Linked DNA regions of Coturnix japonica. The protein of the gene in region 1 interacts with the protein of each later gene in a pairwise test. Links are inferred from orthologs where the notes say so. Each region holds a gene or a part of one and is shown in the gene's direction. Other genes may lie near its edges.

Evidence for each region.
Region 2: the proteins of ITSN1 (region 1) and DLGAP1 interact in a two-hybrid assay, tested with the Homo sapiens proteins (2 studies listed by BioGRID and IntAct). The link is inferred for Coturnix japonica from reciprocal best matches to the Homo sapiens genes ITSN1 and DLGAP1.
Region 3: the proteins of ITSN1 (region 1) and LMO4 interact in binary tests that used the Homo sapiens proteins (3 or more experiments, as listed by UniProt). The link is inferred for Coturnix japonica from reciprocal best matches to the Homo sapiens genes ITSN1 and LMO4.
Region 4: the proteins of ITSN1 (region 1) and CYTH1 interact in a two-hybrid assay, tested with the Homo sapiens proteins (2 studies listed by BioGRID and IntAct). The link is inferred for Coturnix japonica from reciprocal best matches to the Homo sapiens genes ITSN1 and CYTH1.
Region 5: the proteins of ITSN1 (region 1) and SNAP25 interact in a two-hybrid assay, tested with the Homo sapiens proteins (2 studies listed by BioGRID and IntAct). The link is inferred for Coturnix japonica from reciprocal best matches to the Homo sapiens genes ITSN1 and SNAP25.
Region 6: the proteins of ITSN1 (region 1) and WBP11 interact in a two-hybrid assay, tested with the Homo sapiens proteins (2 studies listed by BioGRID and IntAct). The link is inferred for Coturnix japonica from reciprocal best matches to the Homo sapiens genes ITSN1 and WBP11.

What each region holds. Positions count from the first base shown.
Region 1 is NC_029516.1:94,850,373-94,855,500, forward strand, and holds the start of ITSN1 (intersectin-1), read left to right. Parts: upstream 1-1,667; 5' UTR 1,668-1,860; intron 1,861-5,128. UniProt on the Homo sapiens protein: Adapter protein that provides a link between the endocytic membrane traffic and the actin assembly machinery. Acts as a guanine nucleotide exchange factor (GEF) for CDC42, and thereby stimulates actin nucleation mediated by WASL and the ARP2/3 complex.
Region 2 is NC_029517.1:90,584,949-90,590,105, forward strand, and holds the start of DLGAP1 (disks large-associated protein 1), read left to right. Parts: upstream 1-2,028; 5' UTR 2,029-2,214; intron 2,215-5,157. UniProt on the Homo sapiens protein: Part of the postsynaptic scaffold in neuronal cells.
Region 3 is NC_029523.1:13,757,606-13,762,794, reverse strand, and holds the start of LMO4 (LIM domain transcription factor LMO4), read left to right. Parts: upstream 1-1,804; 5' UTR 1,805-4,792; intron 4,793-5,189. UniProt on the Homo sapiens protein: Transcription cofactor. Plays a role in establishing motor neuron identity, in concert with MNX1, acting, at least in part, to disrupt LDB1-LHX3 complexes thereby negatively modulating interneuron genes in motor neurons.
Region 4 is NC_029533.1:4,591,250-4,595,866, reverse strand, and holds part of CYTH1 (cytohesin-1), read left to right. Parts: intron 1-306; coding exon 307-387; intron 388-495; coding exon 496-608; intron 609-681; coding exon 682-830; intron 831-907; coding exon 908-1,019; coding exon of another isoform or gene 1,020-1,020; intron 1,021-3,605; coding exon of another isoform or gene 3,606-3,607; coding exon 3,608-3,684; intron 3,685-3,835; coding exon 3,836-3,907; intron 3,908-4,128; coding exon 4,129-4,283; intron 4,284-4,411; coding exon 4,412-4,490; 3' UTR 4,491-4,617. UniProt on the Homo sapiens protein: Promotes guanine-nucleotide exchange on ARF1, ARF5 and ARF6. Promotes the activation of ARF factors through replacement of GDP with GTP.
Region 5 is NC_029518.1:11,888,651-11,893,879, reverse strand, and holds the start of SNAP25 (synaptosomal-associated protein 25), read left to right. Parts: upstream 1-1,736; 5' UTR 1,737-1,897; intron 1,898-5,229.
Region 6 is NC_029516.1:43,746,833-43,751,449, forward strand, and holds part of WBP11 (WW domain-binding protein 11), read left to right. Parts: intron 1-222; coding exon 223-316; intron 317-516; coding exon 517-713; intron 714-1,334; coding exon 1,335-1,468; intron 1,469-2,001; coding exon 2,002-2,201; intron 2,202-2,939; coding exon 2,940-3,134; intron 3,135-3,746; coding exon 3,747-3,848; intron 3,849-4,501; coding exon 4,502-4,617. UniProt on the Homo sapiens protein: Activates pre-mRNA splicing. May inhibit PP1 phosphatase activity.

The sequences.
Region 1 (5,128 bases):
GTAATCACGCAGCAAGTACAGAGAAAATAAGCAACTAAAGCATTACATTAATTTCTAACCAGAATAACGATTGTTTGCAAGCAACAGAGACACGATGAGTCTTACAAATAAATTTTAGAACAGATAAAGCATGATAGAATCACAGAACCATAGAGTGGCTCGGTTGGAAGGGGCCTCAAAGTCCACACCTCTACAATACTTGCTGTGGGCAGGGCTGCCCCCCACCAGCTCAGGCTGCCCAGGGCCCCATCCAACCTGGCCATGAGCGTCTGCAGGGAAGGGGCACCACAGCTTTTATGGGCAGCTGTGCCAATGCCTCAACTGTTACCCTATAACACATTGTCTCAATGTCATCGACAACAGTGCAGCAAATGGTGGGGACTGAGATGTACTGCAGAAGGCAACGGATGATGTGTTAGCCCAGCAGTAGATGGGGAGCTTGCCACCCAGCTGAAAGGAATACAGCTTGAGTAGCTCAGATAAAGGCAGCACAAGGGGAAATAAAACTGCTGCAGGGATACCAGGAACCTCGCACATAACAAGAATCACAAGTTGGGTTTTTTCCCTCCTCTCCCAGCTCCTCTAGCACACATTGCTCTAGACAAAGAAGAACCTTTTTGCAAACAGCTTTCTTCAGGTTCCGTGGGGAAGGAAAGCACAGACAGACACGGAGACAGCCCGGCATCACATTCGCACACACCACCTGGGCCCACCACAGTCATTTCTGTCACAACCAAGCGCCCTTCACAGAATCACAGAATCACAGAATGACCCGGGTTGGAAGGGAGACCTCAAGGATCATGTAGTTCCAACCCCCCTGCCTGGCAGGGCCACCAAACATACACATTTACTAGATCAGGTTGCCGCCAGGGCCCCGTCCAACCTGGTCTTGAACACCTCCAAGGACGGGGCATCCACAACCTCCTTGGGCAAGCCTGTTCCAGGCCTAACCACTCTCCTAGTGAAGAACTCCCACTAAACATCCAACCCTAAAGTCTTCCCTCTTTAACTTAAAACCATTTCCCCGTGTCCTGCTATTGTCCCTCTCCGGGTACCCGCCCCTCGGGCCGCCCAACACCCCCGGTATCCCATCAGTATCTCCACACGGCTCCCACACCAGCCCCCCAGACCAGCACAGCCGGGTCTCCAGCCCCACCCGCAGCTGCTGCCCGTCAGACACAGCCGCTCCCTCCCGCTCCCGCCGCCCAGCCGCCCGTTGCCATGACAAACCGTCGCTTCCGCCGCGCTCCCACCTCGGCACCCTCTGGAGAGCGCGGGTCACGCCCTCACGCTCCGCCCCGCCGCAGCGAGCAGCTTCGCGATTGGACGCTCGGCGTGAAAGCGGGAACACGATTGGCTAGGTTAGCCGTCACTCACCTCCGGCGGGGAGAAGGCGTGGGCCGTAGCTCTGCTCACGCTGCAGCCAGCAGCGAGGAGAACGAGGCGGCGCTGAACTGATCCCGCAGCACAAAGCCGCGCCTCCCCGCCCCTCTCCCCGCCCCTCGGGTGCGTCCCACCGCAGCCGTGTGGGGAACGGGCCCAGCCGCCCTCGTCCCCGTCTCCCCTCGCCTCACACCGACCCCCTGGGCGCGGAGGCGGAGTCTGCGCGGCGCTCGCAGCCCTTGATAGTGGGCGCCCTCCTGCCCGTCACGGGGCCGCGGCCGCGCGTCACTACGGCGGCTGCGAGGGCGAGCGCCGTGCGGGCTCCTCCCCTCAGCGCCCGGCAGACGGCGGCTGAGGAGGCAGCGGGAGGGGATGGTGCGCCTGGCGGAGGCGGTGGCGGGCGCCGCTCCGGCTCCTCCATCCCCCCCGCCGTCGCCATGGGTGTGAGCGGGGCCCGGCGGCCCGCGCAGATATGAGGTACGGGCTGAGGGGGGTGGGACCGCCTCGCTTCCAGCCGCCGGTTCTCGCTCCGTCGCGGTGGGGTCGGCGTTGCCCCCGGCCCCGCGGCGCCTCCGCCCGATGCGGCCGGGCTGACACGCGCCTCGCTGCCCCCTTCGTCCTCCGTGTCCCCCGCGCGGTGCCTGGAGCCCACCGAGCGGCCGCTGCCCGCCGGCTTCTCTCTATCTATCTTTTTTTCCTCTCTTTTATTTTTAAAATTTATTTATTTATTTTATTTATGTTTTATTTGTTCTCCCCGCTGCGGCGGTGTCTGGGCGTTGGGAAGCGGGGCGATGCGGTGCCGGTTGGCGTGTGCGCGGCTCGGTCATACGGCAGCCATCGCGCCTCGCTTTGCAGGGGGGGCCGGGGGCAGCGTCTCTCTGCTCACGAAGAGGGACTGCGGGGGGAGCACGGCGCTGCTCCGTCCATCGTTTCTGGTTGCCGCCGGTAACTTTCCGGGTTGGTTTTCCTTTTGTTCTGATTCAGCCTCTCCGTTATTTGGGATGGAACGGTGATTCGGCTCGTGTTTTGAACTCGGCTTTCCCCGTGGGGCGTGGGTGTTGTGATAAGGAAACCGGTTCTATGGATGTGAGTAAGGGAGCGTTTGTTGAATGAATACTTTTTTTTCCCGTTAAAAGAAGTGGTATCCCGAATGTGACGGTGCGGTGCTCCTTAGGGCAAGGAAACAGCATGTTCTCCTATGCCATTCTTTCCCCCATTGGATGTCAGGAAAAGGTTCTTCACCAAAGGTGAAGGGCTGTGGGCACGACCCCGAGTGCAGGAGTTGAAGGAGCATTTGGACAAAGCTTTCAGATGTAGGGTTTGATTTTGGGTGGTGCTGTGTGGAGCCCACAGTTTGACTCAGTGGTCCTGAGAAGGGCCACGAAGATGATCAGGGGGCTGAAGCACCTCCCCTATGAGGACAGGCTGAGGGAGTTGGGTTTGTTCAGCCTGGAGAAGAGAAGGTTGCGGGGTGACCTCATTGCAGCCTTTCAATACCTGAAGGGAACTTACACCCAGGAGGGGAGTAAACTCTTCGAAAGGGCTGATAATAGCAGGACACGGGGAAATGGATCCAAGTTGTAGGAGTTGATTTAGGTTGGATGTTAGGGGGAAGATCTTCACTAGGAGAGTGGTCAGGTCCTGGAACAGGCTGCCCAGGGAGGTTGTGGATGCCCCGTCCTTGGAGGTGTTCAAGGCCAGGTTGGACGGGGCCCTGGGCAACCTGATCTAGTAAATGTGTATGTTTGGTGGCCCTGCCAGGCAGGGGGGTTGGAACTACATGATCCTTGAGGTCCCTTCCAACCCGGGTCATTCTGTGATTCTGTGATATGGGTCCCTTCTAATTCAGGATCCTGTCCCATAGCTGTAAGGTACGTTGCTTGTTCATATCTCCTATGGCAATATATGCTTAAGGTGATAGTTAAGTATTTTAACACAAAAGTATTTCAAGGAAACCTCCAGATACGTGCAATTTCTCCTCAGTCAAATAAACAAACTCTTGGTGTCCATATTGATGGCTCTGGAGAGTATCGGACTGTGCAGTGATGTTGCACACTTGGCCCTAATCTTTTCTTCTGCCCTTTCTTTCTAGTCACCTGTAACCTCTCTCAATGCTTACAACCTGATGCTGTATATAGCGTAGTGAGCTTTGGTTACCGAGTTCTTTCCATTGTGAAATGCGTGTGCTGCTGTTCCCAAGCCCCCATTAGGAGGGTATGATATTGAAGGAGGAGCCTTATATCAGCTATATTCAGGCTCCCAGCTGCAGCAGCCAGGGGTGTATTTGTCTTTGGTGGGGGGTGGGGGGGGGTAAGATGTGCTGTAAGGAAACTGGTTGCCTTCTTTGCATTAACTTTACATTTAATCTAGACGGTCATCCACATTTAGGCAATCAGCTTGGACCATTGGAGCTCGCGTGATTAGCACTTGTATGCCCTGACTGCTTTTGGCAGCCTTACAGGGGTCATGTTTCGTACAGATGAACTGTTTCCGAACAGTTTCTCCAGTGTGTTCGTTAGGCTCAGGCTTCATCTGAACCGAGCTGGTTGCTCTTTGCACTTGCTCCTTCTCAAACCACGAATTAAATTCTTGCAGTTCTGCTGTTCCCACTGTAATATCTGGAACCGGAGACAGTAAGATAAGTTGGTTTTTTTAGAAGAGTTTTGGTTTTTTTCTTTAATTTTCCTTTGTATCCCAGTTTGGTGGAATCACAGAATGACCCGGGTTGGAAGGGACCTCAAGGATCATGTAGTTCCAACCGCCCTGCCTGGCAGGGCCACCAAACATACACATTTACTAGATCAGGTTGCCCAGGGAATGACTATTGAGATACAGTAAAGCAAGAGCCGGTGTCTCCAAATAAACCAGTGACCCTCAGTGCCTGTTCTGTCTGCTGCTGTTGTAGTTATAGCTGGTGGGAAATGTGCATACTTGCTTGTTAATACCTCTAATCACGCAATTAGCTTAGATTTGGGTTCAGGAAAGAATGTGAATCTAGCAAGTAAATCACTGTGAATGGTGATGACAAATCTACCTTTGTGCTGTAAGCATAGATTGTAATTTTAGCTTTCGGTAGGATAACACCAGGAAAAATAAGCATTTCTGCCCGGGTTCGAATCCCCCTGTGGCACAAGTGGTAGAAGTGCCGCTCTGCTACACAGAGGCTCGAATCCCGGGGATTGGACTCGATGATCTCTAAGGTCCCTTCCAACCCGCACGAGACTGTGATACTGTGATAGAAGAGGTTAAAAACCAAAGAATTTAAATGAAAGTCTCGACAGTGGTTTGAGGAGAGGGAAGAGGATAATCATCGGGAGTTACCAGCATAAAACAAGTGCTTGTGTTGCCTTTAGTAATGGGGGGAGGAGAATAAACCTTCAGCGGGAGGATTTGTTTGTAGTATGTATTTCAGGCAGGGATGTCTCTGAAATTAATCTGCATGGAAGCAAAGAGACTAGAACTTTTTACCATTAAAATAAAGCCAAAACAGCCCGTAGTTGGCCAGGAACATTAAGCGCTTGTTGCTATTGTACTTAATGCAGCTGCTGAACTTGAAATGGCCCCTACGCCCAGAGTTGGTTTTGTTTTTACTTGCATAGCATGAAATTGGCTGGTAGAGTAGACAATTAGAACTTCGGGCTAGTCTGAGGTCTAATGATGCACTATTTGTATGCATAAAACTCTCCTATGAGGTGCCAACATTTCAGTGTGGTATATGTGCCAGAAGTAGTTGCCTTGCCTTAAA
Region 2 (5,157 bases), on another chromosome or scaffold:
CAGCGAGCTATTTCACTGCCACCACGATCCGCACGCTTTGGGAGCCCCACTGCCAGCCCTCTCCCACCCGCTCTCCATACTCCCCGCTCTCGCAAGGCCAAGACGCTGCGGGCGGCTCCCTCCGCTCCCGGGCGGCCCCGGGCAGCGCCGTGCGGCATTACGCGGCGGGCAGCGCGCTGGCCGATCCCTTGGGAAGCGTCGCAGAGCCGCCCCCGAGGGACGCCGTGAGGGCCGAAGGAGCTCCTTGGGCAGCATTATTTTTTTTTTTTTTTTGGCAGAAACATAGAGTTACAGTGTTGTTTTTTAGGGGGGGGAGGAAGAATTGGTGGGATTTTTTGTTTTGTTTTTTGCTGTTGTTGTTCGTTTTCTCAGTTGCTCTCCCGAGGTGCCTCTCCGACAAGGGTGCAATGAAGTCCCCTAGAATAAATGGCCAGAGGAGTCTTTTCTGAAGGCGCGTCCTTGAGATCGGGAGGGGAAAGCGGGAGCGAAGAGCAGCTGTTGCGGGGCCGCGAGGCAGCACGCTGGCGGCTCGCGGTGCCCGGCCGCCGTAGTAGCGAGCGGCTCCTCCGGTGGTTGGGCTGGGGAGCGCTGGGCTCCTCCTCCTCTCCCCCCCAAGCCGTGCACAGCCGGGTATGTGGCTGATTAGTCTCCCCCCGTCTCTTTTTTTTCCATGGGTATACACACCGAGACTCGCACATGACAGTACTTCGGCGCGAGAGCCGTTGCATCGCCAGGAGGGCTGTGCTTCCACTCCTGGCACGCATACACACACACACACACAGATACACGCTACTGCTGCCGCCGCTGCTGGAAGTCTTTCTACACAGGGATTAGCAGCCGCCTGCGTCCCTCTCCCTGTCTTTCTTCTCCTTTTCCTTCCTTCTCTCCTTCCTTCCCACAAACGCTTGACTAAAGGACGGCGGGCAGAAAAAAGGTAAATGCTTGCGTGCGTGAGTGCTGTTTGCCGACAATAGCGATGGGTGATCGCTTCCCTGGCAGCGCGCTGCGCGGCTCCGCTCCCAGGCAGCAGGCTGCCCTCCTGCCGAGCCGGCGGCTGCCGCTCCCCGGGACTCTCCTCCCGGGGGATCGCGTTGGCTGCGAGAGGTGTCGCTTCCCCAGCCCCCCCTTTCACTTCCCCCCCGGACGTGGAGGTAAAGGTTGCCTCTGCTTTGCTCCTGAGCGCTTGCCACCTCAGCCTGGCAGTGTGGGGGAGTGCCGAGCGAAAGGTTGCGCGGGATGAAGGTTGCTATTAATCGCCGGGTGCGCGGAGGAGAGAGAGCTCTTTTCGCTTCGGCAGGGAACCCGTGCATTATTAATCAGGGCTGGAGAGTGGCGACGGAGCACGAGCCCTACACCGATTTCTCCCCCCGCCCCCCCCCCTCCGTTTGCTGCATCATTCAACAGAGTAATTTCTAGCTGGCCTCTCGTCGTGGGGCTTTTCTCCCACTATCCTTACTGCGGGGATATCGGCGGACGCCGGGGGTAGCCCCAATAGGGGCGATCCTTCTCCTGGTCCCGGAGGGGGAGCGAGGCGAGGGCACTCAGCGCTGCCTGCGGCGACCCGCGGGATACGGGCTCCGTGCCCCAGGGTCCCCGGGCGCCGGACGGGCTGCACAACTACTTGCCGCCTGTTGTTGCGGCCGTTTGTCCCGTGTCCCTCCTTGGCAGGAGAAGCAGAGTGAATTTTTGCCCCTTTTCTCCCCACCTCTAGCCAAGCCGAGATGCGGTGCTGTGCGGGTCAGCTCTGGCCAAAGAACCGCGAGGCTTGCCCGAAGCCGGGCTGCAGCAGCTACAATCTGGCTTCCGTTCAGCGGGCTCTCTCCATGTCGAGAGGGGAAGGGATGGGGGCGGCGTGAAGGAGCCCACGGTGTCGGACTGCCTCCGTGAGGATGGCAGGGAGGAGGAGAACGGTCGGCCTTAAAGCTGGGCCACTGCCGTGCCTCAGCCGGCACTCCCGAGGCGACGGGCAGCCCAGTGGGTGCTTAGCGCAGAGCCGCCAGCCCGCGGAAGTATTGAGGCGCAGGTGTGGGCGTTTAGTGGCCGAGAGAGGCGGTGACAGCAGCGACAGCAGCCCAGGAGGGGTTAAAGCTCTCCCTTGGGAGCTCCGGCCTCCCCTGGGTACTGCTCTCCGTGCGCTGAAAGGGGAGCGTGGGGATGGGGACACGAGCAACCCCTCTATCCTCAGTCCCTCCGAGAAATGAGGCGTTTAGCAAGGTCTGTTATATAATTGCGTCTTTTTGGTGTCATTCTTATTGCAGCCAGCTCGGGATGCCGGCAAGGAAAGTGTTGTAGCATGCCCGTTTTTGTAGCAGTTGATGTTGGTGCGAGAGCTGGGAGAAAATTTATGGAGTGATTAATATTTAACAGGAAGTACTTCAGTGTTGTACATGATTGATTTTGGGTAATCCCATTTCATTCAGGTTGTTTTGTACACCTGTTAGAGATACATAAACGTCGTGTTAAGGATAGAAAGCAAAAATAAATAATAAAAAGTAATAGAGGCAAAAACGGTGAGAAATGTTGCTCATCTGTGGAGTTAATTATATAAAAGAGTTGTTTAACCTTTTAGCCTACTTATACACACAAGGTAGGTGGGCTTGTAGGCACGGCGTGCGCTCTGCTGGTTATGTTGGATTGTATTTCAATATTAATGCACCTTTAAAAAGGCAACGCTAATTTGAGCCGGTATGGGGAGGCACTTGTGGTATTTCCCCCTCTCCTAAAAGAGCTGGGTTTGGTTGGTGTTCCCTCATCTGAATAATGACAATGGATCCAAAAGCCCAAGTGATATTCTGAGAGAAATGTGTTGATAGTAATAACAATTATGAGTTGTTGTATTTAAAATGTGATCGACAGAGTTCCTTATTTTCTTTTGTGTAGCCTACCTGTCTGTCCGATAATATGTATTTCAGAACTATTGAAAGTAGATATTGCAAGGTAATGAAAATGAATGGGAGCAATGTGTGCTGCTAATTAGGGAGGTCATCAGTTATTTTCACAGTGTAGGGTACAACAGTGTTCTGCTGTATGTATCCTTCTGAACTAAAGCTGTCTTTCTTCCTCTCACTAGAGCTGCCTACATTGAATATATGTGCTTAGGAGCTTATTCTGGTCTGTTTCTTAGGGAGTTAATGCTTGCATGCGTATCAGTATGATCTCTGTTAGATGTTGCCATGCTGACTTTCCTGTAGAGGTAGGTGGTGCCTCTCAGTGTAGCTTTAGCTAGCAGTGTTGCCACATGGAAATACAAAAAGAAAAGCATGAATAATGAATGACCTAGTAAAACCCAGAGTCGAAAGGCAGTAGTAAGCAGCCTCCGTGCTGTGTTCTCGTTTTGTTGCAGATCTCACTCCAGGCTCATCCCAGCCGGTAACTCAAGTTTCCACCCAAGCTGTAGAAGATAGGCGCAACGACCTCAGAGGGCATTGCCGTTTTAAGAAGATGGAGCTCAAGGCACTGGAGCATGAGATAGTTTATTCAGCCCTTAACCTCTGTAACCAAACTTAATTTTTACATCCTCTGTTGTATTATCTCTCAAGATTTAAGAAGGCTGTTCTTGCTGGGGACACGGAATTAATACTTGTTCTCCTCTTATTCCAAATTTTGCACTCGTGCACGAGGCTCATCCAAAGAAACCTGAAAAAGGGATCTCCATGGTAACGAGAGAGAGAGATTTTTCTCCCTCACCATAGGTCAGGATGAGACGCCTACCCGTTTGTTAACTTGTGGCAGCGTTTGTTGGCACCTTTCTCTTTGTGGTGACTTTGTCTGCTGGGGTGTGCTTTTACTGTTGGCTCATGCTCCCAGAGCATGGCTCTTGAAAATGGTGTTACACCAGTGCTGAGCACAGTCCCTGCATCTCTCCCACTTTCACCCTTCCCTTCCACTTGCATCACAAGTGGATGAACTTCAAAGTTCTCATGCCTGTGTGATTTGGTTATGGCATCTGAGGAAATAACCTGTTTTTGCTATGAGGCTATTGACTTGAAGGCCTGTTTTGGCTCTCACCGTATGAAAGGCACAACCTTATTTCTCAGTCAATCTCAGAATGAAGGGCAGTCATTTCTTTCCTGTCTCTTTTATTTGCCTGTGTTCTTTTTAGTGTCTGCAGAGGATTTTGTGGCAGCAAATCCTACCAGGGATTAGCATTATTTTGTATATGATACAATCGCTAATAGGGAATGTTGTTTTCTATCATAATTTTTTATTATTTTTAGGTGAGTTGTACTTGTCCCTTTTTATTGTTGTTCTGTTATCTTATTTGTGTTTTATGTTATTTGAAGAATAGTCTGCATATGCTGTGTCCCAGTGCAAGATAAGGTGAAATGAATACTTTCTGACAACAGGAGCATCAGGAATAGATAGTTATAACTTTCACTAAGGAATAGGGCATATCTTCTGTTCTCCTCTTCCTTTCTGTATTCATTTATCATAGCTAAGATCTCATGAGATGAGACCAAATGACTTTTTAAATGGTTCCCTTAGGCTGCTGATGCACCAGGTTTCTCTGGGCATATTTCCAGTTCTTTTGCCTTTCCCAGTGACATAGCTTGGGATAATTTGAAAACAACCATCTTAATATAAGACAGCAGACATCATTTGTTGCTGGGCAGTATGTCATTTGTGACTGTAATTGGAAGACAGATGCTAATGCTGATTTTAGCCTTCTTAACTTGCCTCATTGGCAGACTGTCTACAGAAACACTTCACTGTGCTTGGAAATCATGCAATATATTCCTACCTTTCTGTATTCCTGTTTCTGAAAGAATTGCCTATGCTATTTGAGAGCTAGTATGCTCATAATCTGGCTTGCAATGTGAATCTGACTTAATGTGTATTTTCAGTGTCTTCTACCTGATGTAAATAATTTTGCGAGAGTAGCCTGTGTAGCTTCTTCCTTCAATCTTTGTATACAAGAAACTTCCATTACCTTTCTACATGATGTTTTGTCCCTGTATTGGTAGTATTTCAATGACAATCATTCAGCTCATTTCATTCAGCTTTGAAAATGGGGGTTGGGTTTTTGTGTGTCTGTTTGTGTTGTTTGTTTGTTTTGGGTGGTGTTTTTCTTAGCCTTGCAGGCTGGCTTTGAGTGTAGGCTGCAGTAACTTGTGCTGATGTGTAACATAGAGGTTTCAACTTCTTAACTGTTGTGCC
Region 3 (5,189 bases), on another chromosome or scaffold:
TTTGTGATAAATAAGCCAGACCGCTTCAGCTGAGAAAGACGGGTGTTTTGCTAATGTGTACAGCTGTTAATTGAAAAAGATTCTGTTATGCCTGTTCTTCTGGACATAGATAAAAGAGAGATTTGTTGGTGAACTTTAGTTGGTCCTGAACACCCCTTTGTCCAAATACACTGCTCAATAATAACGCTTTGTTCTGTCTGTAACAGCCATGGAAGGATTTTGAGTGGAATACTCATTTTCTTTAAGTCATATCTGCCAGTGATCATTCTTGGCTTAAGATCAGCTGCCATTTATGTGTTTTATGAAAATATAACACCAGTTTTATGCTCAAAACTATTCTTTTTTAGGTAAAAGCTTCAGCACAAACTGGTTCCCCATATGTACCATAAATGCTATTTATCACAGGTTTTGGTCTTTAAAACAGAAAGATAATGTTAAAACATTTTCATTATCCTTTCCTTACAGCTATCATTCACAAACCATCTTTTATAATTATGGCACTAGGACATTTACATAACTGGGAAAAAGGTCCTTAAACTACATTTCTATTATGTTTGGCACTTGTGTGAAAGGATATTATATTCATGTGCATTAGAGATTGCTTATAAAAGATCAAGACAATAATAGCAGATCAGACGATAAAGGTTCCCTTTTCTCCTCCCAGACAGGCTGTCTCTGACAGAAGAATACAGTTCATCAAAAGTGTCTGCAGGTTGTCAAACTCAGTGAGATTTGGGGACACTCGGAGGCTGTCATGGCCAACAAGAAGATTTTCTGTAGGGTTCTGCCATCATTCACCCTCAGGAAATAATCACTCACTACATTCTGCATGCTCTCATGATAGAGCTCTATTTGAGAGAAAAGAGCCATTTTATCAAAGGACAATATATCCCTTCTCTTGGTCCATGCAGCTTCCATTATCAGACTATAATAAATCATATTTATGTTCTCAGTTAATAAGACTGATTACAATGCAGGTTACAGGCATGGGAAAAGCAAAGCAGGTGAAAAGATGTTTTAATGAAAATATGATAAGCAAACAGCTTCTTGTGAACATTTCAGGCTGTTATTTGTAATGATCACAGGCATTTTTTGATACATCTTCCTTAGCAATGGTTTAAGCTGCATAAATTGGCTTGCCACTTTATACGTCGAAATAGGAAGAATCCCAATGTCCTTCTCATGTTGTCTGGAATCATTATATACATTATAAGCATAAAATGAGTTTAATGTATGTGCTTTGAAAAGAAGGGGAAAACAGAAAATCAGGGAGGACTGATTTTAATGCTGCTCAAAATGATTTTGAAATTTTCTGCTCATCTTTGTTACTAACGGAGCATTTTCCATGAAATTTAGGAATGACATGTGGTGCTTTCATCTCCTTAAAATTAATATACTTCTCTTTCTGTTTTTCTCAATTTCTTCAAAGTTCTTTTTAGAACACTGTGCAAAGACAGAGAGAAAATTCTCCACTCGATGTGTGAACATATCTGTTATTAGTGCTGGGGGGAGTTAAGTGTGTGCTTCTAGAGGAGAATATAGCTCTGCATTAAATACTGGAGTAAACCCTATTAAAAAGGTGCAGGGATATTTAGCTGCAGCACACCTGATGCATTCAAAGGCCAAATTCCTTGGAATCTTTTAAAGTGATTAAGATCTCTTTTGTTAAGAATTCTCCAATGATTTCAGAATGTAACTGTACCTAAATAGCTGATAAAATGTCCTGCTCTTGTCTTGCCAAAAGCTTTCTTTTATGTTTTATTGTTGCTTTTTTTTTTTTTTCGTAGTCATTTGGTTTATGTTTAGCATCATACTTTCAAGACAAAGTTAAAAATTTAGAGAATAATTTCCTCCTGCTAGCACATAACGCTGACTAAGTACATCAAAATCTACAGCACTTGCAGAATGCGAACATTATGCTTATAATGTATATAATGACTCTAGACAATATTAGAGGGACACTGGGATTCTTCCTATTTTGACAAAGTGGCGAGCAAATGCAGAAGTCTCTGTGGTGTTGTGTGTCTGCAGGAGCTGTTCTGGTCACTGACACTTCTAAAACTCTCTTAAATAAATGTTAAAGCGTTGTAATGGGCCTGGCAATGGAGAATGACCATGAAATTTCCTTAACCCTCTTAGGGTGCTTCAGCAGAAGTGATCTCACAAGAAACAGTAAACTGCTCTTCAAAGGCAGTATCCTGATATGACAACAGATGTAGATAATGCACTTCATGATGGAACTGCTTGATACAGAGAAAAACATGTTGTAACTGCCTTCACCGTGAAAGGGGTTTAAAAATGCTGCCTGCCAACTCCACAAAAAAACAGAGCTGCTATTTCAGTTAAAGGCCAGTGGATTGTATTTTTCATGTCAGTTTTCACTAACCTCAAACATCACTGTTATGACAGACTGTCAACCAACCAAACCAGAACTGTGGTGCCATTCAGGCAAGAAGGAAGAAAGCAAACACAAAGGAAACTTAGAAGTCCAAATAGTAAGAGGGGGTGCCTATGAGTGCACTTTTGTGCAGTGATACTGATTACTGAAAATGAAACACTTAAAAGAAAATAAACCCAAAAAAGTGCTTTCTGAGCCATTAGTGTTTTCTTGCCTGGCAGTTTCTCTTTGTTCTGTTTCATGACATCAGCCTCGGTGGTTGAAAGGGTGTTCTGGGCCAGATGTCAATCACACTGTCTGACATAAACAAAAATAGCTAAAAAGACATGCCAGCATCTTCCTTTTGTTTTCCCATTAGCTCCATTTTTCTTTTCAGAGGCTGACAAAAAATTACTGCCTCCGAGTGAATTCAGTAATGTCACTATATATCTAATATCTAGGAGACCTTTTGTTTTAGCTTTACTGGGCTTAACCACAAAAGACACTTGACATTGACAAAGAGTCTGTCAAATACACAATGATCAGTGCAATGAAATCTCTCATGACAGAAGGGCACTATTCTGCACCCCCAGCCTGCAGCAGCCTGTCTGAGCAAAATGTGCTGGAGCACACACAGCAGCTGAACCATTGCAGAGCAGGCCATAAGCTGAGATGTGTCTTGTTTAAAGTGTCATAGTATATTAGTGTAATTAAAACCGCCAAAAGAATAGAAAAGATAGATGGAAATGTTACATTACTTGTTTCTAGAGATTAACCTCCAGCCAGAACTGAAATACAGAGACACATTTTGCATGTCTTAGAGCTCAGATATGGAAGAAAACAAGCCTGAGAGTATGTCTCTTGAAGTGTGAGACATGAAGTCATAGTTCCTGTATTTACACAATAAAGCAGAAATAGCATTTCAGACAGGCACGCTGTTTTCTCTCTGATTACAGCTCCTGTTGTGGCTGTACTCTGCAAAGCAGCTGTATCATCTCTCAGCTACTTCTATTTTACTCTCTCTGCCTTCGTTCTTGGAAGATCTTGAGGACCCTTGTGCTGGTGTCAATGCCTTCTGCTCCCTTGGCATCTGCCAGAGTTGTGTGGGCCCCGCCTGGAGGCAGAGCACCCTATTCCTGCCGGTGGCTGCAGAAGCCACAGCTCAGCTCCAGGCTCAGCAACACCCAGCTAGGGAGATGTCTGAAGAGTGGCTTCAATATGACCTTTATATGCCAGGCTGCATGCTTGCTTCTCTGCTGATTCTATAGATAAAACTGTATGGCTTTCTGAAGTTGACCCTGAAAATTATGTTCCCAGCACTGCATGTTTTCCTTCCCATGCATCATTACCTGTGATAACTATTCAAGCCTAACTAGTTATGAACTCTGTTTCTAACCATGACACAAGTTAAATCTGTTGGTAAAAAAGCCTTGAAGTTTTTGTGGACCTGTTCTGCTGTATAGTCTGAACCTTGGTTAATCCAGAATCTGGAGAGGACATGATCTGGCTTCAGCAGTTCTGAAACACTGCAAAAGCAGCATGGCTTTCTTCTAACGTAAGCCTTACATTCAAGGAGAAGATGCATTAATCACGTAGGTCTCATGTTCATTTCTTCCACTATAAATGAACTTCAAGGCTTTGCCCCATTAGTTGGTCAGTTTGAAGTTAAGAGATGTTAAATATAGGCCTTACATTTTCGGTTTCCTCATACTTCCTCTATTTCCCAGCTTTAAATATCAGTTAATGACTTCTCCATATAACAGTACTCTTTAATTTCTGGTCAGAGGCTGTAAATGTGCACTGTTAGTCAAAAATATGTTATCTGCATTTAGTGTTGGCTTCTGGAGCCTTCACCACCAAGTTACCTCACAGTCGCATCTCTCTTCACGTGATTTTCCAGGTACTGCCAGGAGAAGAATGGAAAATGACTATGAAATAAAAGCACATTCTGCTCCCATTACAGGCAATGAAAACTGTGCTTTTACTTCTACTTACTCATAATGGTGGGGGGAAAAAATGAAGTGGAAACAAGCACAACAAAACACCTCTGCCAGCTATCTATAAGCTAACCAAGGCTTCCACTAATGAGGTGGTCTGGCATTTTGAGAAAGACGGGTTTTTCCAGAAATGGAAAAAATATGCTGTTTTTTTCCTTCAACTCTGAGAGCTTAGTGAGAGAGTAAGAAATTGCATTTCAGAGGGATAGCAAACTTTTAATGCTCTCAGTATTATTTAATACTTACAGACACCAGTGTAGTTTCTTGTCAGTTGAATGTTTTTGCATGTTTATTTGTGAGATTACTAAATACTTTCCTACAAACTAGTTATTTGCTGTATTTACAGATTCATCTCAGTGACTGTGAAATTCCTGAGGATGTTATTACTTTCAAGTCAGATTAACAGAGTAATTTCCAGGTAAGATATTCTGGAAGATAATACCATGGACAATTGCATAGTCTATTAAACAGAACTGAACTGTTTGTGGAAAAGATAATAATCTAGATCACAAGATAGCACCAGATTTTATGTTATGATCTCCAAATGTCTTTGGGAGCTTAATGCACTCAGCATTAGTTCAAGTCTAATTTGCATGGCAGAAAAGTGAGTTCCAGTTTCCACCTCTCTGGGGCTGTGTTGGGAAACTCTTGTCTCCCTGGGAACTGCAGAGGACAGGCTGCTATGGTTTGGTTATGCTTTGGCAAGAGTATTCACCATGTTACTAGCTGCTCCTGGAGTGCCCAGTGGTATCAAGTGCAGAAAAGAAAAGCTTTCACCTTAGACAGTGAGGTGTTCAGGCCTTTCTACTATATCC
Region 4 (4,617 bases), on another chromosome or scaffold:
CTCGGTCCCTGTGCAGGAGGAGATGGTGCAACCCTTGCAGGTTGCTGCTGGGCTGGGCTGGCTCCAGGGCCCCCAGCAGGACATCAGGCTCTGGGTCTTCAAGTGGCTGCGCCAGCCCCTTGCTGAGTGCCAGGGTCTGTGGCTGGGCTCTTGGAAAGGCTGCTGCGTGCAAACCTGGCCATAGGATGGCCCATAGCCATAGGTTCCCTATCCTGAGTGCAGAGAGCAGAGCGGGGCAGGGGGCCATGCGGCAGTCACAGGACGGGCTGATCACACACACCTCGTGCTCTGGCTTTGTTTCTGCAGGGACGAGTTTAACATCCAAGTCCTGCACGCCTTCGTGGAGCTGCATGAGTTCACGGACCTCAACCTCGTCCAGGCATTGCGGTGAGCCGGGGGCTGAGTGGGGCTGGGCTGGGCTGTGAGCTGTGTGCCCTGCAGGGCCCTGAGGGCTGGAGGATGCAACCAAAGCAGTGCTGTGCCTGCTGTCCTCAGGCAGTTCCTGTGGAGCTTTCGGCTGCCGGGAGAGGCACAGAAGATCGATCGGATGATGGAGGCCTTCGCACAGCGGTACTGCCAGTGCAACCCTGGCGTCTTCCAGTCCACAGGTGAGCACAGCTCCAGCCCTGTGCCCTGCTCTGTGCCCTGCCTTGCACCTGACTGTCCTCTCTGTCCCCGCAGACACCTGCTATGTGCTCTCCTTCGCTATCATCATGCTGAACACCAGCCTGCACAACCCCAACGTCAAGGACAAACCCACAGCAGAGCGATTCATCGCCATGAACCGTGGCATCAACGATGGGGGGGACCTGCCTGAGGAGCTGCTGCGGGTAAGGGATGGGATGCAAGGATTCAGGGCTGGGGCACAGCGGGCTCACAGAGGTGACACCGTGTGTGGTTGTACCAGAATCTCTATGAGAGCATCAAGAATGAACCCTTCAAAATCCCAGAGGATGATGGCAATGACCTCACACACACCTTCTTCAACCCTGACCGGGAGGGCTGGCTGCTGAAGCTGGGTAAGTGCTGGCAACCAGATGGGTGCAGCCTGGGCAGGGTGTGCTCTGCCCCAGGGTCTGGGCTGAGCCATGGGTATGATGCCCACAGACTGCCTGCACGTGGCTCTGTGGAGCACAGCCCTGCCAAGAGATGAGGGGCTGCAGCCATGAGCACAGCCCGCATGGACAGTGTCCGTACCTCTGTCCCTCCATCGGCCTCGCATTGAGCAGCAGGAGCAGAGCTGCTATTGGAGAGGCCCTTTGCTGCAGCCACGTGGGCTCCCAGTGGGATTCTGCCTGGAGGCTGCTGTGCTGAGCTGGTACCTGGCTCTGGTGTCAGATCACAGAGCTGGGGGTGCTCTGCACAGCGCTGGGACACAGCAGGGTCCCATCAGAGCCCCAAGGAGTGAATGGCGAGCTGCCCCCGGGCTGCGTGTCCCCCTCCATGCCTCAGAGCTGTCCCTGCCTCACCTTCCCACAGCATTATCACCTCCGCATCCCGGCTCCACATGCAGGCAGCGTGCATGGCATCCCTGCTGCACAGCCCGGCACTCGCAGACACGAGCCTGCCCTGCCCCACACCCTGCCCCACACCCTGCCCCACACCCTGCCCCACACCCTGGCTCCTGCAGCTTCTCATCTCGACACCTCCTGGGGACCTCTGCCCGGGTTGAGGAGGGGGGGTGCTGGCAGGAGCAGGGGCTGCAGGGCCTTTCCCTGGGCTCTTGCTGAGGTTGGGGCTCTGTCCTCTCACTGGGGGGAGTTTTTGCTCTGTTGCCACCCCTGCGAGATGGGATCAGGACCTTATCCCTTTCCTTGCAATGACCAACACAGAGCCCTGCCTGGGCACTGAACAAGGTGTTCCCTAGCTGTGGGGTGGGGGTGTGAAGGGCCATGAAGAACCCTATACCCCTGCCTTTGTGTCCCCATAGAGCCCGGAGCTCTGCTGGTAGAAGGGTCCCATAGCATGAGGGTGGGGGCTGCTCAGAGCCAAGGACACCGATAGTGTAGCAGAGCGGTGCCGTGGCCCATCCCCTCAAAGCTCCCCATCTGCAGCCCTGTCCCGCTGACACACACGGCTCTGTGCGGGGTGAGGGGGGTTCTTCGGGATTTCCTCTTTTTTTTTTATTTTATTTATTTTATTTTTTCCTTTTTGTTTTAATTTTCTTTTCTCCCTCATTTGTATGTTTCCATGATTTTGGCTCTTCCTTTCCTTGTCCCCCAACTCCAGGAGGTACGTACCCCTATCCCCTGTACCCCTTTTATCCCCTGCTCTGCTCATGCCTCTGGGGGCTTCGTTTCTTTTTCGTTTTTAATCGCTGGCGATTAGTCTCATTGCTGCTGCTGCTAACCACCGCACCGCCCGGGGGGACCTTGCCTGCAGGGGACAGCCCCGCACCCGCAGCCACCAGGGCAGGGACGTGGCTGCTGGTCCCTCCGATGCCGAATGCTCCCCGAGGTGTCCTGGTTCCCTCTGCTGCCCTCGGTCCCATCATAGGGACAATTGGTACTGGTGTGTCCTCAGACCCATCCGCAGAGGGTCGTGGCCTCCAGTACCGTGAGGGATGGGGCTTGGATTGTGGTGTTTCAGGGCATTCAGGAAGGACCTGCAGCTGGCTGGGTGCAGGGCGCTGTGCAGTGCTGCAGCTCATGGCTGTGCTGGTGCTGGGCACAAGTGCTGCCCTGGCTCAGCATGTGGGCACACTCTGGGCAGCCTCAGGGCTGTGCTGGCTCTCAATGCCACACGGTTCCTCCTCCAGAGCCCTGCCATGTTGTCACCTGGTGAGGCTGTAGCCTGCAATGAGGGCTTGGTGGGGGCTGGAGGGCATCAAGTCTCCTTGGGTTGTGGGGTGGGCTCGGCTCAAGGTGAGCAGGAGCAGGGGGGCTTTGCTGGGAAATGCCGGCCCTGCCTGGCTGTGGGGCAGGGAATGGGGTGTGCAGCCTTTCCCAGGAGCGGGCACTGACTGTGGCTGGGTTAATGGGTGGGCAGTGGGGTGGGATGGGGGGGGATATGAGGCAGGGATCTCCCTGCAGAGCCGGACAGGGAGAGAGGAAATGAGCACATTCCCCTCGTTGCACACATTGCTTCTTTGTGGGCAGCATGGCCTGGGCACCCATACAGCAGCACTGAGCAGAGCAGCTGGTGCTTGGAGCGTGTGGGGGTGCGGGGGCAGAGCCAGGCCCAGCACTGCAGCACTCTGAGCCTGGGGGGGAGCAATGTGCAATGGCAGTGCTGGGTGTAGAGCTCCCTCCAGCCACTGTTCGCATGCTGCAGCACCGAGCTCTGCTTTGCCTTGGCATCGGGCTGTGCTGCAGGGCTGGAGCTGCAGCTCCTTCTGCCGCACATCAGTGCTTGTAAGCGGGCACGGCAGTGCTCCCATCCCTGCCCTCCCACCTCCCTCTGCCTCCATCCTCATCCGTCTGCTTTCCGCTCATGCTCTCGCCCTGCCGGCGTGCTGTGTGCTGCCTGCTGCTCTGCGCTGCGGGCTGCCTGCATCTGCTTGTCTGTGTGCGTCCGCCTGGGCTGCAGCACTGCCGTGCCGTGCCGTGCCATGCTGTGCCATGCAGCAGCACCAGGGCTGCCCCCAACCGCCTCTCTCTGCTCCCAGGAGGAAGGGTGAAGACGTGGAAGCGGCGCTGGTTCATCCTGACCGACAACTGCCTTTACTACTTCGAATACACGACGGTCAGTGATTTACATGGGGGCTGGGGACCCTCGGGGGTCCCATGGCCGTGTGGGATGCAGACGTAGCACAGAGTGCTGGGAGCACTCAGCCCTTCCTATGGGGCACTGGTTGGAGGTGTCTGTAATGACAAGCTCTGCTTGGCCCCATCAGGATAAAGAGCCACGTGGCATCATCCCCTTGGAGAACCTGAGCATCCGTGAGGTGGAGGACTCCAAGAAACCCGTGAGTGCCCGGCAGGATCCTGCAAGGCTGGAGGGTGGGATAGGGAAAGCCAGAGGGCCCCACTGTGGTGGCAGGACACAGCTGTGGGGTGATGTCACAGCATGGCCCCATCCTGCTGTGCTGGGTGTGCAGCCCCACTGCTCTGCACCATCCTCCCCCAGCCCAGGGTGCCCCACTGCACTTGGTGTGGGGGCTGTGTCTGAAGGGGTTCCTCCCTGCAGAACTGCTTTGAGCTCTACATCCCTGACAACAAGGACCAGGTGATCAAAGCGTGCAAAACGGAGGCAGACGGGCGGGTAGTGGAGGGGAACCACACCGTGTACCGCATCTCAGCCCCCACACCTGAGGAGAAGGAGGAGTGGATCAAGTGCATCAAGTGAGTGCTTTGCGGGCCATCCCCTGCTGTCAGGGTGGGTGGCAGCACATCATGGGAGCCATGTTATGGGGGGAAAGGGCTTCCCGTGGGGTACAGCTGCTGGCTGACACTCTCTGCTTCCCCACCAGGGCAGCCATCAGCCGGGACCCATTCTACGAGATGCTGGCTGCCAGGAAGAAGAAGGTATCCTCCACCAAGAGGCACTAGCAGCCTGGCAAGACCACCATGCCCCTGGCAGCACCATACCTCCATCCGCAGGGCTGCGGGGCTGGGGCTCAGCACGGCCCTGGTGCCAGGACCCAGCTTCAGCTTTGCAGTTTCTTTACCGTGGGGG
Region 5 (5,229 bases), on another chromosome or scaffold:
ACTTGCAAAGCACAATGCATGCGCATGGACTGCCTGAATTTCAGACCGAGACACACGCTGGGATTCCTCTTGCTTTCTGCAGTGCATACCTAATTGGAGTGCTGGCTACTGTTAACCCATATATGAGTTGAGCAGAAAAGGTTTGCCTTTCCATACTGTCATTTATGATGCTAAATCCAGGTCCTGCTCAAGGTGCTGATCCAGATCCCTCACCTAGAAGGGGGGCTGTCTGCACAGCGTTGATCTCTCTCTACTTGTCTGCCTTTACAGCCCTTAAGTCTGACAGGTTCTCTCCTTCCCTGCGGTTTTTGTGTGCACAGCTCATCAGATACTCTACTGCAGCAGGAAGCCCCTCTTCCCTGAGAATTCCTTTGTTGTATATTTAGCAAACTTTTGACTGCTTCCTTCCAAACGAGACTGAAGGACATATTTTCGTAGGAGAGGGTGAGAATTGCAAAGCACGATCTACAATCACGTTTTTCTATGGGGAACTACAGAGCAGGGGAGGAGGAATCACCGCAGTTCTTTCTCCTTCCCCCCCCCCGCACCTCCCCTCCCCTTTCTCTCCTCCACCCCCATACAACCACAACATGAGACAAACGTGCTCCAAAATACAGCTGCAGAGCCTTCCCCCTCTTCCGGTCTTCCCTGCCATGGCAATAAGGGAAAAAAAGACATAATGATTAGGGTAGAATTATCACTAATATGAGACTGATGTTTTGACACCGTCATCTGCAGACTATTTAGAAAAGCCATTAGCACAGTGTCAGAGTTAAGCATAGCCAGTGCTCAGTGACTGCTCACAAGAGAGGCTCAGACGGAGGCACCTCTGCTCATGGGTAGGTCTGGATGGTTCCATACACGAACGTGCGCAGGCTTGTGGAATGAAAGGGAAGGGATAACTGAGGTTATGAAAGAGTGTCGCATTTCAGATGCAATCCCCATCCTTCATTAAAATCTCCGTTAAGAGATACCTTTTACAGAAAGATGTTTTGTAACAAATGAGAGGATTTCCTCTCCATTAAATATCACACTACAGACAGCTCCATTTGCTCCAAATTAGGTAAGCTCTGAATAAATATTTTAATTAATCCATGATAAATAAGCCAGGCTTTTTCCCAGAACAGAGTCACTGCTTTCCTCCTTGGCAGCAGCGGTCTGTTCTCTCTGTGCTGTATGTATGCACGTACATGCCTGGGTTTTTTGTGAGGGCTTTTTTTTTCCCCCCTTCTCTCTCCCTTTTCTAAACCTGTCTCTCAAATGATCGGTTATAGCACATGTCCTTATCTGTGGATTTCCTTGCGTTTGTGTGCTCTTATTTCAGGGGGGAGGAGAAGGGGAATAATCAGATTAACACACTCAGACCCGTGGCAGGATGCTCTGAAACATAAAAAGAGGGAGAGAAGGAAGAATTCACACATAAAAATAGAAGCCCACGTAGATTGGCCATATATGGAGTACCGGGGACTTCAGAGGGATACCCTCTTCGGACCACCCCTTTGGCGGAGGCATGTTGCTGCAGGAGGCCCCTTCCCCCCTCCCCGGGCGGTTCAGCCCCCGGCCCCCAGGCTCGGAGGAGGCCCGGCGGGGCCGTTTGTCGGCGGGGCGAGGAGATCGGAGCGGGAGGCGGCGGCGGCGGTGATGACTCAAGCCCGCCCGCCCGGCCCGCTCTGCCCCCCGCCCGCTCCCGCCTCCCCCATTCCCCCCCCCCCTCCGGGGAGGGCTATTAAAAGCTGCTGACGTAGGAGCGGACGGCCATCTTTGATGAGGGCACGGCTCTCGGTCCATTGAAGAAGGAGACCCGAGGAGGTCAGCAGCGGCTGTCCTTGCCTCCCAGCTGCGGCACCGAGACACCAACCCCGCCGAGGCGGCCCGGCGGAGCGCTGCACAAGCCGAGGTAAGGGCGGGAGACCACCGGGCCACCGACTGAGCAAGGGGAGGGGGCTGTATGAACGAAAATGAAGCGAAAAAAGGATTTGTTTAAAGGGGGACGCGCTCGGCGTTTTGTCTCCTGTCTCTGGGCTGCTACAGGGATGGAGGAAGTCGAGGAGAGGGGGGGTAATGCCGCCGCCAGCCTTATCGCCGGCTGGAACCATGGGAGGGAACCGAGCTCTGTGTTTCCGCTGTATCGGGCACGATCGAAGGCGGCAGGGAGCCCGAGGAGAAGGGCAAGCAGCGCATTTCTAACCTGTACTGGGAGCAGGGTGCTGCGGGGCTCTCTGCTCTGCTGGGTCGCGCAGGGCTGCAGCCGCCCAGGGCACTGCAGCGCCCTTCCCGCACCGCACCGCACCGCGCAGGGCTGCGGCGGCGCTTCGGCACCGCGGACGGAGGCCGGGGGGGAGGTCAGCAGGGAGTACTGCGGCTCTGCGGGAACGGGAGGCGGTTCAGCACCGCGGACAGCGTCCGTCAGCACAGCGGACAGCGTCCGTCTTCAGCACCGCGGACAGCGCCACGGCGCCCCGGGCTTGGAGCCGCGCTGCAGGCGGAGGCGGGTTCGCTGCAGCGCCCTGCGGCTCCGCACCCCCCCCGGGCAGCCAGCCCCGGGCAGCCTCTGCCCTGCCGCAAGGGAAGCGAGCCCATAGCTGAGCTGCTAGCTCCTTCCGGGACGGGACCTCAGGCTGAAACAGCTGGGGCTTTGCGGGGTTTCTCGGCAAGTCGAAGCGCAAAGTGGGAGAAATAATAATAATAATAATAATAAACAATAATAATTACAAGCTTCGGTTCTTGAAATTAAGCGGCTCTTCAGCCTGTCTCCCACCCGGCCGGTTGGTGGAAGGGCATTGGTGCAAGGGAAACGGGAGTTATGTAACACCTGGTCCGCGGGGTCTCTCCGGACCAGCGGCAGCCCCTAGGGCATCCCCGCAACCACAGAGGGTCGGCCCCGGGCATTCTGCAGCCTTGAGTCGGGGCAGCTCAGCTCCTCATGCAATGCAGGCAAACCCACCTCGCACTCCTGACCCTGGCATCCCTGTCCCTGGCGTTCCTCTTCCCCTGTCCTTCCTGCTCCCTGGCACCCCGCTTTCCTTCTCCACTTGGTACAGCTCACTGCTGGCAAAGTTGGTAACTTTGCTGTTTTCTGCAGGGCAAATAAACAAGAGGGGATGAGGGAAGTGGGTTGGGCGTCCAGACATTGCACTGCGTAGCTGCGTCAAATGAGGGCCATGGGATCTGCCAGATTTACGTGCTTGGCTTGAGTAATTGCTGCTGGTTTCATTCCCAGCTGAAAAGGGGGTGGGGGGGAGGAGGTGGGGATGGAGAGGCTGGTCTGTGGTGAAGCCTGGGGATGGCAGATCAACCCACCAAGCCATACGTGGTTACTGTCAGCCCCAGCTGCCGCATCCACAAGGACATGCCTGTCCCTCTCCTCCCTGCTCCATCCTAGCTCTGATCTCCATAGACCATGACAAGACAAGGCTGGTCTGGAGGCAGACACCTCTATGGGCTGCAGGGGAGGAAATGGGGCCATCTGGGTGATGAGAGCTCCAGGGGATACAGATGAAGAATCCTCCTCCCATATCCCTGCATGTCACTGAATCATGGTCAAAGATACCAGTCTAGGAAAAAGTGGCAGTGGTTTTCCATTGCTTCTGCATAGTGCATAAGGGGATGGCAAGGAGGTCACTTTGATTCCTAGGATGAGTGCCAAAGAGACAGCAGAAGTGACCAAAGCAAAGGTACAAGCAGGCCTGATTTGCAAAAGTGAGAGCTTGAGGCTCCCACTGAAGTCAGGAGGACTGGAAATAACCGAGCATGTTACGAAACAAAATGCAGCTAAACAGCAACCCCAAGTAAATGCAGTTTAACTATATTTATACAGCTAGCTAGGAAATGATAGTGAGATATCGGATTCTATGTCCACTGAACTCATGAGGGCAGAAAAATAAAGAACCCTTAAAGTACATCTAATGAAACACAGCTCCAGTTTGCAGATTTACTGCATTGGGGGTGGAAGCTGTATTTCAGGTCATCAGAAAGCTTTTCATTCATCTCTGTACAGGTTAGGCATGGCAACAGACAGTGAGATTAAACTGCTAAGGCAAATAAAGTGTAGTCTATATCTAATTCCTGCTCTGCTATAACCGAGCAAGGTAACTAATCAACATGCTTTCCTGTCTTATTATTAACTTAAGCAATTTTTAGGCTTTTGTGTCACAAGCCTATGTTGCAACAATTTGAGGTAAAATGGCAAGCATACAGCAGAACGGAGAACTCAGTCTCTTAATTCCTTCTCTCAGGAATGTAAAAAACCCTAGGAAGAAAGGAACTTGGTTTACCTTGGCTTGTTACACTACCATACTTGTTCATTTCATTTAATTTTTTCCTGATTTTTTTCCTCAATTTTTCATAACTAGAGTATAATCACAGCACTTTCATTATTAAAACACATGCACATTTATTTCAGACTTCTAGGGCTTAAGTCACTTAAAACTACAACAAATGTAAACTCACTTTATGGCCTTCACTGAAGTGAGTATGTTTTTCTTTATCTGAAGTTTCCTCTACTGCTAGAAATGCAGTCACCTTTGGGCTGGGTGAGTGCCAAGTAGTCTGTAACAGTATAATTGTTGAAGCTTTTTAGAGCATCTAACGCAGAGTAGAAAAATGTGTTTGAGAACAGCAGCAGGCTGCAGGTCTCAGGCAGATCACAATTACCTCTAGGAGGTTGGGCTTTGGAAAAGGCACTAGGGTTCATATATCTACTCCTGGGGGAGCTGGATAGAGTTTGTCAGGAACATCAGCTGTCAAAGTATAGATTATTTCTTTTAGCTCATCATTTTTGAGCCTTTACTGATACCTGCGCCCTTCACTTAGATATACTCTGGCTTCCTTCCTTACTGACTTAGCAGATTCAGCTTCTGCATCATATTACAACAAGCACTTCTCCGAAACACACAGGTTATATTCCCAGTTCTTGCCCATCATGCCTTTGTCACTACCTCCATGAATCTTAGATGCACACTTCCACCAGCAAAATCTGCCTCTCGTCAAACAATAGCTTTTAATAAGCCGTCCTGCATCTCACTGGATTTTCTAGGACTTTTTTTTTTACCACCAAGAACAAGCATATATCAACTTGATAGGCTTGAAGTTGTTCCTTCCTGCTTTATGACGACCCTGTGGCCAGTGTTCCAAGACTCAAAAATGTTTTGAATTGATTGATGATTTGAATGGCCTAGAGGAAGTTTTTGGCTAATTTGCCCTGTTACTTAAGAATGAAATTAATCTTGG
Region 6 (4,617 bases), about 51 Mb from region 1:
TATAGAAGCATCTGTAAATAGTGAGATAGTGGAATTGCAGCTCCTAGAAGTTCAAAACATCTCTGCTGCTGATTTGTGCTGTGGTTAATATCTGCAAGGCATCTGGAGATGTCTTTTTTTCCCCCCTGTAGATTGGGAGTGTTGAAAAAGAATTATTTGATACAAAGATTTTTCTTTCTCCTGTGTCTCTTTTCTGATCTCCTTGATTTTTGATCCTCTTAGAACAAAAAGCAACGAATGATGGTACGAGCGGCTGTACTGAAGATGAAAGACCCAAAGCAGATCATCCGGGACATGGAAAAATTGGATGAGATGGGTGAGTAAGGGAGGTATTGGGTGTTGGAGATAGTAGTCAAACACTGAGTAATGATTATATTAGTGACTTTTGGTCTTAACATTGCAGACTTACTGGAAATACGAACTGCAAGTGGTTTGGTTTGAAGTTGTTTCGTTAATTTTAATTGTAAAGTAGAGTAACTTTTGAGTTTTTGGCTTGCTTTTGCTGTCTTCGATTAGAGTTTAACCCAGTGCAGCAGCCACAGCTTAATGAAAAGGTGCTAAAGGATAAACGCAAAAAGCTCCGTGAGACTTTTGAGCGTATCTTACGGCTCTATGAGAAGGAGAATCCTGACATCTATAAAGAACTGCGCAAGTTGGAAGTGGAGTATGAGCAGAAGAGAGCACAACTCAGCCAGTATTTTGATGCTGTCAAGGTAATGCTTGTAGTATTGAGGCTTGTGACTGTACTATGTACTCCTCTTTAGGTGCAACAGTTTGAAAAGAAAGGCCTTTATAAGGGACCAGTAAATATTTAGTTAATATTAGGCACACGTACTAGGTTGCTTAGTAACTCCAGATGGTGTGGAGGATGAGAAGTCTGTATTTCTCTCTCTTAAATTGATTTAATTTATCAATAGATTAAAGGGAAAAGGGAAAACTGATCAGATCAACATCAGAATCTGTTTTGTGAATTAAGGAGAGAGAGAACATATGAATGTGCGGTTAGCATTCCTGCTAAATCTGGATCTGGAAATAGTTATTTGGCATTTATTTGAGGACCTTTCTGCATAATTCTTCCTGTATGGAAGAATATAATGTTACACAAGTGCAAGTATTTAAAATCTTCTGGAACATGCAGAGCCTGTGATTTAAGCTTTTTGGGTTCTCAGGAGGTGTAGGCAGACTTGTCTGCAGTTTTGTTGTTTCGGGGACAGAACAGACCTTTGGCAAGTGATGGCATGTCCCATGTGTCAGGTGTTCTTAAAGATAGTGAGACTGTGTAGTAACTTCTGTGGAAGTGACTCAGTTTTTATTTTTGCCTTTTCCTCTCCCAGAACGCTCAGCATGTTGAAGTGGAAAGTATCCCTTTACCTGACATGCCTCATGCTCCCTCCAACATCCTTATACAAGACATTCCCCTTCCTGGGGCCCAGCCACCTTCTATCCTCAAGAAAACATCAGCCTATGGGTAAGAGGGAAAGGATGCTTGGAGGGGAAAGGAAAACAGGAAATGTTTTTTTACTAGGAAAGAGCTGGGGTTGGAAGCAGAGGTAATATTGAGTAGCAGAAATTGGAAGTTCTGTGAGTGTGAATTGGTTTGTTGTGTGTTTTTTGGTTTTTTTTTTGATTTAAGTGAAAAACCTTAATCTTTCCTTCCTGTTACAGTTTTTGTTTAAACTGATTTGGGTTGTATTTTGTACCTTCTAGCACTTGTCTTTCTGTTTATTGGTCAAACTTAAAGCCCTGCTGTGTTGTTTGAACATAAATGCCCCCTAAACTGTCACGTGGCTTTTTTTGGTTTTTTGTCTTGTTAATACATTCAGTTTAAACTCCTACTTTATTTGTGTATCTGGCTCCTCAAGCTAGTATTAGCTAGTATTAGCACTTCCTATGCAAAAATATATATTTTTTTCTGAGTAGTTTGATTTCACCAACTTGCTGTATAAGCTGTTTGTATTTGTTTGTGACTTCCCTGGTTTCCATTTTCTGTCTTAATTGCAGACCACCGGTTCGATCTATTTCTATGCTTCCCCCTCCTGGGCTTGGTGTTCCACGTTTACCTCCTGGCAGGAAGCCCCCAGGACCTCCTCCAGGGCCACCCCCACCACAAGTCCTACAGATGTATGGCCGTAAAGTGGGTTTTGCTTTGGAGATGGCTCCTCGAAGGCGAGAGGAAGACGTTTCTTATGGTTCTGAACCAGGCAAGGACTTTCCTATCTCTTTCTGGGTTCTTTCTTGCTGTTGATAGTACTGCTGTGAGCACTGTGCGCTCTAGATAAGGTATCGTCTGGGTAATCTGAATGTTTTTACTAGAAGAACTCTTTGTGTGATTTGCAATCTTGAGCTCATTTTGATATATTTCGTAACATCTGCCATTTTGTTATTGAGTCTATTTCTAAATGCTGTATCTTTTATTTACAGCTTGCAGATTTCATTATGTTGCATAAACTGTTTTCCTACGTTGTCTTAGCAAGGCAGAAATGTGTTTTACTCTCTTTTTAAGGAGACAATATGTATATTTGCAGAGAATTAATCTTTCCCCCCACCTTGCTATAAAACGCAGGAAAACAAACAAAAGTCCTAGCACCAAAACTGGGGATACATTTTCAAACAGTTACTGTATTTTCCATACAAGCTTCTATGAATGGGTAGATCAGCCTTACTGCATACCTAAAAGGACTGAAATATTTCTAGAGGGGGAAGTTGTATATTGCAGTTCCCTTCACTTATTTACTGCCAGTTAATCAACTGTTAATAGGAAATCTTACCAGCATTCTCCCCAGAATACTCCTTAAGAGTGTGCTAAATAGCAAAGGATTGACAATACATTGCTCACTCTGTTGCTAGGAAGATTCTTCTTACTGTGAACTTAAAATATTCTGCCTTTCCCACCAGTGTGCTTGGAGTTCATGTCTGTCTTAATACTTTGCTTTTCACAGGACAGCGAGGGCATGATGATGATATGTCCAGTACAAGTGAGGATGAAGGCTATCCTGAGGATATGGATCAAGACAAGCATGATGAGAGTAGTGATGATAGTGACAGTGATAGGTCAGATGCAGACAGTGAAGGTGATGACTTCCCACATCGTGATAATGACAAGGAGAGGGAAGGCGGAGAAGAAAAGAAATCAGGTATGATGGGGATTTACAGGTTGGACTTTTGAGTTTTCAGAGGAAAAGTACTACTGAACAGTCTTTGTTTTCCTTACTGTGGGGAAGGGAGAAAAAAGTAGTCTGTTTAGACAAGGAATTCTGTTTTGGCTCGTTGAAATTCCAGCTGAAGAATTATTTATTGATGAATATATTTATTGATGAATGTGAAGTATCTGAATGTGCAAGATTTGTCACCTGAAGCCTTGAAAGAGCAAAAGATCCCACAACAAATTAAGCCTTACTCTAAAATATACTCATTCTTTGGTGACTTGAATAGTACTTCTGTGATGGGTGCACTATTAATGCTTTTGAATGATGTCTCTTGATTGTTTAAAAGAAGTCCAATTGACAGAAAATCCTAGGTTACCAAAAACATTGGGAAGAAGACGGCTCTTAATGATGCCCCTAAATAAGAGTTATGTCATAATGATGTATTTTCTGTACCAAGTGAAAGACTTCCATGTGTATTTCATGTGTACATTCATCTTAATGTTTTCATATATTATATAAATATGTATCTTATTTTTATATTCACTGATTTATTCTGTTCCCACTGCCCATTTTTTTTTGTTTGTGCTTTGCTTTCCCCAGGTCATAGCGTACGGTTTGCAGACATGCCTGGGAAATCACGGAAGAAGAAAAAGAACATGAAAGAACTGACTCCACTCCAGGCCATGATGTTACGAATGGCAGGTCGGTGATATGGATACACTGAGAGGAAGCATGCTATTAGATTTGCAGATGAGGTTTCTCTGGTGAACTTAATTTGCACAGTCTGTTTTGTAGAAGTAAATGCATTACTGCCATACTTGAAAATCTACTAAGAATGTACGTAAGATGTGGTTAGTTTTAATTTAGATTATTATTTTTAGCCTAGTGCGCTCAGACTGTTATCTGCAGGGTTTAATACTTCCTAAAAATATCCTTCTGAAGAAAGGTATTAACCGATGGAGTCAAGACTTTTCATTTTAAATCGATACAAAGACAACACTTGTATCTTTTTTGGGGTGGAGGGGAGAGGAGAAAGGAAGCTGGGAGAAGATGGGTTTCTTGGAAGTGGTGGTTATGTCTATTTTGGGGAATAAATAATCTGTGATATTTTCTATTTTAAAAGTTTTATCTCCCACAAACTCAAATAACTGCAGTTCAGATTTATTAATAGAAGTTTTAGTTCCCACAGGAAAGCAGAACTATCTAGTTGTTTTTTTTTTTTGCATTTTGTGTATATTAATTAGTATAATCAGTTTTCATTCCTTTGAGGGGAATTTCTTTTCATTCTTATTTAGTGTTTTATGTTGCCAAATTTATTACTTGTGGACTGATTTTATTAACGTGTCTGTTTCCAGGTCAGGAAATCCCAGAAGAAGGGAGGGAAGTGGAAGAATATTCAGAAGAAGAGGAGGAGGATGAAGAAGACTCAGAGTCTGAAGACACATCGCAACAGCAGCAGCAGCAGCAGCAA